Bombyx mori: one gene and its partner. The main gene of each other region encodes a partner of the protein of the gene in region 2 in a complex. Links are inferred from orthologs where the notes say so. Each region holds a gene or a part of one and is shown on either strand. Other genes may lie near its edges.

The links.
Region 1: the proteins of DLDH (region 2) and lipoamide acyltransferase component of branched-chain alpha-keto acid dehydrogenase complex, mitochondrial are in contact, whole or in part, in a crystal structure (PDB 3RNM), measured with the Homo sapiens proteins. The link is inferred for Bombyx mori from reciprocal best matches to the Homo sapiens genes DLD and DBT. Residues at the interface, in NP_000099.2 of Homo sapiens: Ser446, Thr447, Asp448, Arg449, Glu472, Tyr473, Gly474, Ser476, Glu478, Asp479, Arg482; in NP_001909.4 of Homo sapiens: Thr174, Pro175, Ala176, Lys196, Arg199, Leu201, Lys202, Glu203, Leu206.

What each region holds. Positions count from the first base shown.
Region 1 is NC_085128.1:9,588,577-9,592,931, reverse strand, and holds the start of lipoamide acyltransferase component of branched-chain alpha-keto acid dehydrogenase complex, mitochondrial, read right to left. Parts: upstream 2,996-4,355; 5' UTR 2,774-2,995; coding exon 2,693-2,773; intron 1,609-2,692; coding exon 1,451-1,608; intron 906-1,450; coding exon 718-905; intron 1-717. UniProt on the Homo sapiens protein: The branched-chain alpha-keto dehydrogenase complex catalyzes the overall conversion of alpha-keto acids to acyl-CoA and CO(2).
Region 2 is NC_085128.1:7,019,280-7,023,790, forward strand, and holds the start of DLDH (dihydrolipoamide dehydrogenase), read left to right. Parts: upstream 1-1,568; 5' UTR 1,569-1,638; coding exon 1,639-1,680; intron 1,681-2,029; coding exon 2,030-2,155; intron 2,156-2,279; coding exon 2,280-2,516; intron 2,517-3,007; coding exon 3,008-3,148; intron 3,149-3,436; exon of another isoform or gene 3,437-4,034; intron 4,035-4,195; coding exon 4,196-4,361; intron 4,362-4,405; exon of another isoform or gene 4,406-4,511. UniProt on the Homo sapiens protein: Lipoamide dehydrogenase is a component of the glycine cleavage system as well as an E3 component of three alpha-ketoacid dehydrogenase complexes (pyruvate-, alpha-ketoglutarate-, and branched-chain amino acid-dehydrogenase complex).

The DNA of each region.
Region 1 (4,355 bases), about 2.6 Mb from region 2:
AAACACTGGTTACGTCTATGAAATATTAGAACCCTTAAACTTATTTCTCGTGATTAACAGTGACAAATCATTCGTCTGGTTTTATACGTATATTATTATCTCTTAAGGGCTTTGTCAGCTGATTATGACGTCAAAAAATCTGGATTCATTTATTAAACTACTTTTTTTTTTATCACTAAAGATACACTAAAAGTAGGTGTTCAATCAGTTTTTCCAATATACTGGGAACTTCAATATCATCAATTTCTTATTAAGGTTGCTTATATAAAGTAGCCACTTAATACAGTTAAGCTATTACAGAAAATTATTATTTAAATAAATCAATAAAACGATTTTTTTTCGTGACGGCTTTAAACACCATAGCGCTGCTGCTTGTCGGTCGGTTTAGCATTCGCGTTTGTCATTTATACTTTTAATTTACTAACATTTTTTTTGTTTATGTCCACTTTATGTTGTAACCATACTTGAGACCTTAGAACTTATATCTCAAGGTGGGTGGCGCATTTACTCCAGTAAGCACTTAACACCAGGTGAGCTGTGAGCTCGTCCACTCATCTAAGCAATAGCAAAAATAAGATAAAAAACTTAATCGCGTTTGTGCAGAGAGTACGTAACGGTAGGCAGCGGTTTGGCACTGCCCTGTCATTGCTAACGTCCATGACTAGCCACTCACAATGCTCGTTTGTCTACAAGGGCAATAAAAAAAACTTAGCTTACCGTCATTTTCAGAGTCTTGCACGTCAATATCGACTAGGGGTTGTCCTACAAGAGCGGTCTGATCAATATCATGGTACAGTCGTGTTATGATACCGTCGTATCGGCTAGTGATGGTGACAGCTGCCTTGTCGCTTTGTACTTCGCAAATGTTGTCGAATTGTTGAACATTATCACCGACTTTGACGAACCTTGAAAGAAACACGAATATTTAGTTCCAAATTTAACAAATAAAATCAATTGAAGTGAATAATTTGACAAAAGGAAGTTCGCCTTTAGCACTGTAAATTGTCGTTAGCGAGATATTTGTCTTGGACTCAAAATTGATTAATCATTTGAATTAAAAAACTTGAAACTCATTTTCATCTGTTACCGCGTACAATTAAATGTTGGGTTATATTAAAATATAAAAGGCTTCGAAAATTAAAACACTCTTATTAAACTAATTACCTAATACATTCGACATAAAAGTTACGAAATGATTTGCGTGCTCTATTAGCATACAAACAATTGTTTGAATTTTTGTATAATACGTCGTCGTTTGAAAATAAGTAATGAATTTAAATATATTTTTGGCTAATAAACACGTAAGTAACACAAATTACAAATCGAGGTATAGGTGCTTGACTGCTTGAAATGAAAATAATCTAAATATTTAATGCAAAATGATAGGTTTTATTAAACTGGTAAGTTTTGTAAAATATAATCAAGTTTTATATTATAAGGTAATATTAACCATTCCTTGATGACGACTTCTCGTATCCCTTCACCGATATCAGAAAGCTTGAAAGCGACGATTTTGTTGACAGCATGACTGGTGTGGAAATGCCTTAACTCCTTGCTTAAGCTTTCATTCAAAGGCGTTTTGTAAGATAGCTGTGATCCGTTTCTCGCCTGAAAAAATGTTGGGACACTTTATCATAAGCATAACCTAATCAAAAACAGACATTGCAAAATCGCAGAATGATGATTGCTATACGACCAGAAGTCCTCAACACATGCAACACGGACCCCATTAATAATGTGAATACATTTACAATAAACTGGTAAGTGTTAATACCGGTAGTCCCACTTCACGTTACATATAAATTAGACGATTTCAAGTGAATAAAAAACCTTGCGTGTCCAGTATCGAAAGGGCGTAGTAGGCACTCAGTGTGCTTACTGCGAATTTCTTAACGCTCTCGATATCGTAAAAGTTAAGCCAATTTTGTATGCAGTTGGAACAGCGCCCCTGGCAGCAAACGTACGCTAACGATCCCATTCCATACAAATATGAGCTAACTTTTACGCTATCGAGAACGTTTAAAAACTCGCACTAGGCACAAAGATTCATTATAGATAGTTTTATTCTTAAACGCACAATAATGTCAACGTAAGTGTATGCCTACGTTTGCATTATTATAAATTGCGTATTACAACTATTGCTTAAATTTCAACTTCATCATATTATGGCAAGTTTTACATTATAATATGTTAAATATAATCACGTGTTTATGAATTTTAATATTATTATTTTTTGTTTTTACAATTATGACTTTGGATGAAGATAAATTTTCATACAAAAAAACATTAAGATTTGATGTTTTTGTGATTTATGTTATCTTAACTTTATTACCTATTCATTTAGTAGATAAAATTTCGCTCATATTAAAATTTCATAACAACAACAATTCTTGTTATCTTATCTTATTGCCACGAAGAATTAAAATTAGTTCAGATTTTATTTTAGCAATATTAGGTAATTGATATAATAGGTACTTCCGATAATGCTTGTACATCTAAGCGAATTAGGTGCTATGTGTAATGATTGTATTCTAACTATTATAAGTATTTAGGAATCTATTACAATATATGTATAATTTCATGGCTGAGCCAAAAGGTAAGTAAATACTAAAACGTCTTTGCATAAGGTTATTCCTATCTTTATTTTTTGTTGTTGCTATAAGTATTTATGATATGACTTCTTGTTACTCACACTTTGCGTCGTCACCTTGATTTTCCGGCACCGGTTCACGGTTCTCAGTTGGAATACAGATCTACGAACAAGAATCGACATTGCTATGAAAGAACTAAGAACACGAATTTTAAATAATTATAAAGAGCATGACGCGAGCCCTGTGTTCGGTCGCGATCACAACTGAGCGTTATCGCCTCATTATCAGTGGGCCACGGAATTGATTAACATTTGAGTAAATTATTCATTTAACTATGTTATTTCGTAAGTCGTACGACGTCAGTGAGCTGTGAGGTTAGCCGTACTAATGCATATATCTGGGTCGAGCCGGCATCGCTGCTTCAGTACGTACCATAACTTGACTCTTAGCGCGCATAATAACCAACTTGCGAGTTTTACTATTAGACTGATAAAGCAACTATGGAAAATTAAAAATACAATGGGTTTTAATGACGACATAGTCGGTGTTGTTTAGCAACAGATTTAAATAAGTTTTCACATTCTCAGTAAGAATGATGATTTACAATAAATAAAAAAGTTAAATATATAAATGCCTAGTAGTAAAAAGCCAGACTAAATAGCTTTAAGTGTTGAGGGTTATCGAGTAAATTGCAGAAAAAATGGTTTGGAAAAATGATTTAATCTGTTACATTGTCCAAAACATTTTAATGCTTTAAGACGAAAATCTTCAAACTGTATGTGTTTCTTAACTTACTTACGGCGGTATCGTAAAGCATTGATAACCTTTTAAAGGTTAGGGTAGAACCGTTGGCGACATACTGCCCAGATAAGCCCGTTCTGGAGAAAGTTGGGTGAGGTTACTGGTGGTTTACTGGTTTACTGGTGGTAGGACCTCTTGTGAGTCCGCGCGGGTGGGTACCACCACCCTGCCTATTTCTGCCGTGAAGCAGTAACGCGTTTCGGTTTGAAGGGTGGGGCAGCCGTTGTAACTATACTTGAGACCTTAGAACTTGTATCTCAAGGTGGGTGGCGCATTTACGTTGTGGATGTCTATGGGCTCCAGTAACCACTTAACACCAGGTGGGCTGTGAGCTCGTTCACCCATCTAAGCAATAAAAAAAAAAGAAGGTATATCCAGGTGTAGATATGATAATTGTTTCAACTGAATTATTAAAAAAAATATTGTCATTTTGTTTTTTATCCCATCTAACGTAACTGGCTACCATCACCGATGGATAACAGCAATAGAAGAGCCACAGACAGCCACGCAAAAAACTAATCACTCCACTTCAATTAGATCTTTCTTAATAAATATCAAATCAAGGGTATATATAATAAATGATACAATTTTATTTGATTACCGATTTGATAGGCTTGGTGATTTAAGGACACGGACCATTTATATACATATTTCACATACATTGAAATTTTATTTAATTTTTGGGTTTTAAAATTTAAATAATGAACATTACCTAGTTAACTTAAAATAAAATTTCTTACCTTCTTTTGCTTAGGTCATTTAGGTAAATAATATACCACTATAGGTATTAGGGATTCATCAAATAATTATAAAAATAGATTATTAAGCAATTCTTTTATTAAAGACACAATAAACATGTTTATAAAGTTGATAAATACATGAATATAATTAATAATCCTTACGGTGAATGTAGGTACTCTGACTCATAATATTGAAGATCAAATTACAAAGCTGACATTCTTT
Region 2 (4,511 bases):
CCGTATCCAGGTCGTGTCCACAATGGTGGCACCTCGTCGTCGGCTCAGCTCCTATCCGGTGCAAGTACTTCACGAAGCATCCGTGCCCGGGCAGCCCCTGCACCAGATGAAACGTGAGGTGTCCTGCGCCACGATTCACCCAGTCATCAAAGAGTGGGTAAACCACCTCGACAGTCCGTAAGCCCCACATGGGATTGGCCAACCGCCTCGACCACGATTCGAGAAACTGAACCACTAGAATGATTTCCATATTAATTCAGGAATCTCGAATTAATTGCTATAGAAACATATGACTGGTTCATCCGATCTTTGCCGAGGCAAGCTGCCTACATAGAACTATACCAACTTAACAATGACGATAATGATCTGTTAAAAATTGTACAATCTTATTAAACTAAATGGTTATCTATAGAGTCCACAATTGCATGTAATGTTACCAAATTATAAGAAAGATGCTATACAGCAGAATCACTGCATATAATGTATGCAGATGACGTCAATTATGCGTGACATTGCATCTATGTATCCAATTCTTACTGATATTAACAGAATTAATAAATTATTTGAATCAGAAGAAACAGATAATTCAAAACTATAGGATGAATTGACAAATTGATTGATACACTTATTGCCAAAATAATATTACTCAGAAAGTAGATACTTTTACGTAAAATAATCAAGATTTTGTAGACAAGAAATTTTATTTGGGTACAGCTTGAATCTCATATGTTAACGATGAAAGAACAAGAAGTTCTACCGAATAAAGAGGAAATAGTACGTAAGAGGTGTATCTAGTTCATTGTACATTTGATTCCTGAACTAAAAAACAGGTTTCCCGAAAACTTGAAACTCATTAAAAATATTAAAAGAATTAGTGTAGATCATGCACTATCTCACAATAAAGAGCGGGTTGCTGACATGGTGTTTATTTTGAAAAACGCAAGAAGATATTTCGAAAGTTGCCGAGCATCAAATCCATTTACTCAGTTGGAAAAATAACAAAATACAAAGGAATTTTGTACAAGGTACTGAATTTCAAAAAGTTGGCTGGAGAAAACCGATTTCAATATTTAAACACATTTGCTATATCTTTATTAGTTTTACCGAATTCTAACGCTGACGTAGAGCGATTATTTTGCATTTATTTAGCATTAGCATTAGCATGGCAACACAAAAAACAGAAACTGAATGAAGCTAGATTTGCTATCTTCAATTCTCACTGTCAGTGCTAGCTTAAAACGCGAAGGAAAATGCAATGCAATAACTACATACTACCAAATAGCATAGTACAAAAAATTGCGACCAAAGAAATTTATTCTGCAAAAACAGAAATTGTAGAAGAATCCCTTCTTCTGAAGATAATTAAGTTCTTAATTTATTATATTTTAGGACTTCACATAATATCTGTCCGGCAAAACACAAAACAATTTGTGGATTCATTAAAATAAAGCTGGCAGCACTGGAGCAAGTATCACAATTGACAAGATTTTGGCCTAAAGGTCTAAGATACCAGGCCATAAAATCCAAAAAAATATATATCACAATTGACATTTGACAATCTCGACGTATTCCGCCTGCCGATCGCCAGGGCTCCGGATTTTATATTTTAATCCAAAAATTCAAAAGAAATTGCTAAACATGGGCTATAAATTTCTAAAACTTGCCTCTCCTACCTTTAGAGTAAGTACGAAAAAAAATAATCATTTCCTCTTAAAATTTACAATATCACAGAAGTTATGCAATGGTATAGGTCCCACCTATACGTATAGCTGTTTTTTACAGACATAAATACACCATAAATTATTCGATTTAATAAATCTACAAAAAGTTTTTGCTCATCTTTGGATTCGATTTTATTAGAGGTAATAAAAACAAAATAAATAATTAACCTGTAATGACCTTCAAGCATGTGATCGTGTCATTCGGCGATAATCAGAGACGCTCTGATATTTAATCTCAGTAGTAATTTAATTTAAAATTTTATTTATAACTTGTATTTCTATATTGTAGTACTGTTTTTTTCTTACAGAGTGGAAGTTTAGTACGAATTGCTACAAGACAATATGCTACCACACATGATGCAGATCTTGTTGTTATCGGTTCGGGCCCTGGTGGATACGTAGCAGCTATTAAAGCTGCCCAGCTTGGCATGAAGGTCTGAATATTAAAAAGATGTTGTGGGCATCATTTCTATGCTATACATTTTTACAATTAGAATTAACTTTTAAAGATTAATATTAACCTAGAGTGAGTGATAAAAAAATTGGTGATTTCTTTAGGTGGTCTCAGTAGAAAAGGACCCTACTTTAGGAGGTACTTGTCTCAATGTTGGATGTATACCATCAAAAGCTTTACTGCACAACTCACATCTTTACCATATGGCCAAACATGACTTCAAGCAAAGGGGTATTGAAACTGGTGAAGTTACATTTGACTTCAAAAAGATGATGGAATATAAAGCTAATGCTGTTAAAGGCCTCACAGGAGGTATTGCAATGCTCTTTCAGAAGAACAAGGTGAGTCATAGCATTATCAGAAATTTGATTAACTAAGTTTTAAAAAAAAATGTTATATTAATAACGTTAAAGCACATACTATTTCAATTTTGATCTCTGACAAATCTTTTAATATGCTTAGTTAGATCAATATAAGTTTTTCTAAGTTTGTTTTATAAATAATAGAAATTTTACAACTAATCAAGAGATGTGCGATATACACAATCGCAAAAAAGATGGTCATTTTGCATTTTAAAACTAAAAGATCTATAGCCTTATAAGCATATATAAGCGTATATGAATGTATATGAAAAACAAATTAAAGGCTTACTTCATGATTATTTTTCACTGTAAACAAGTATCATTCAACCAGTTGTCTTGCTAAAATAATAGGTAGAAATAATAGGCTTAGTAATTGAACACCATTTTCCAATATGTAGAGGAACTATATTATTATTGTTTTAGTTGTATGTAAAAAAAGGTTATTGTATTTGAATTTTTCATTATTGCAGGTTAATCTTGTCAAAGGTGTAGGAACTATAGTTGCCCCAAATAAAGTTGAAGTACACGGAGAGAAGGGTGTTGAGACTGTTAATACCAAAAATATTCTAATCGCTTCTGGGTCTGAAGTTACACCTTTCCCTGGAGTTACTGTAAGTTATTCTTAATAGATATGTTTATTTTATTAAGTGGCAAAAGGTGCAAATTGACAAAAGAAATTTTCTTGCCCTCACACTAATCATACAAGAATAGATAGGTTTTTGCCTTTTTAGTAGTGGTAAAAAGTTACTTACATTGCGAAAATAGTCCCTTTTGATATTCTTATCTGCTCATATTAGAGGAATTCTGCTTTTGTCAATTCAATTAGCCATGATGTGTTCTAATTGATTACAAAATATAAGATTAAATAAAAAAGAGTGAAACTGCTTGTAGCATATTGTGATTATAAATAGAATAGAATAGATTATAATAGAATAATTAGATAAAACATTTTCCAGAATTCACAACAGGCTTATATAAATAGTTTATGAATAAACTTTGTTCTTCTACTTTCTTCAGGAATGACTGCCTCAGAATAGCAATTAAAAATAATATAGGGCATTGTAGTATGCATTAGTTAATTTAAAAAATAGCTTTGTATTGCGATGCTGCGGCTTTTGTTGTAATATCTCTGCACTGTTGTTTTTGTTGTAATAGTCCTAAGATACCAAGCTGGTGCATAGGGCCTTCATAAGTTGTATCCACTTGACCCTATTTTGCGCTTGCTCCTTGACATCACTCCAGGTCATGCCCGTCTCTCGGCCCGCTGAACGGGGGAACCGGTGGTCTTGTCGCTGGCGGCCACCGGTCCGGCGTCCGTGAGACGGTGGGATGGATGTAATGTGCTCTGCGTCAACCCTGTCCCGCCGTTTCAATAGCCCCGACTGGGCTCCGGCCCGGTCCGAGGTAGGGCGCCGGTCGTGAGCGGCAGGAGTTTTTAGTGAGGTTCAACTCCCACATACCCCACCTGCCGCGCGGGTGGGGATCCGGCGATTTTCTCTTGTGGGAAAAAAAAAAAAAGGTCATGCCCGTAGTCCTCGTCTTGCACTACTGATATTTTATTTGGAACAATAAAAATATATTTTGAAGCTATTACATAATGATATTTCATCATAGTAGTTTTAAAACAATTTTAAAAATCTAGAATCACATCTATACAGTTTGATGAGAAACAAATAATCACATCGACTGGAGCACTTTCCTTGGAGTCAGTACCGAAAAAAATGTTGGTGATTGGAGCTGGAGTTATCGGTTTGGAGCTTGGTTCTGTTTATCAAAGACTTGGTGCTGATGTTACTGCAATTGAATTCCTAACTAGCATTGGAGGTAAAATAATAATTTTGTCAAATTTCAAATAATAAAATATGTACCTGTTATTAATTCCCATATTTAACTATTAATTTAATTCGCTTTATTAATGAAATTTAAAAAAAATCTGTATCAGTCACTATCTAGATCTATCTGCTAAGCTAATTT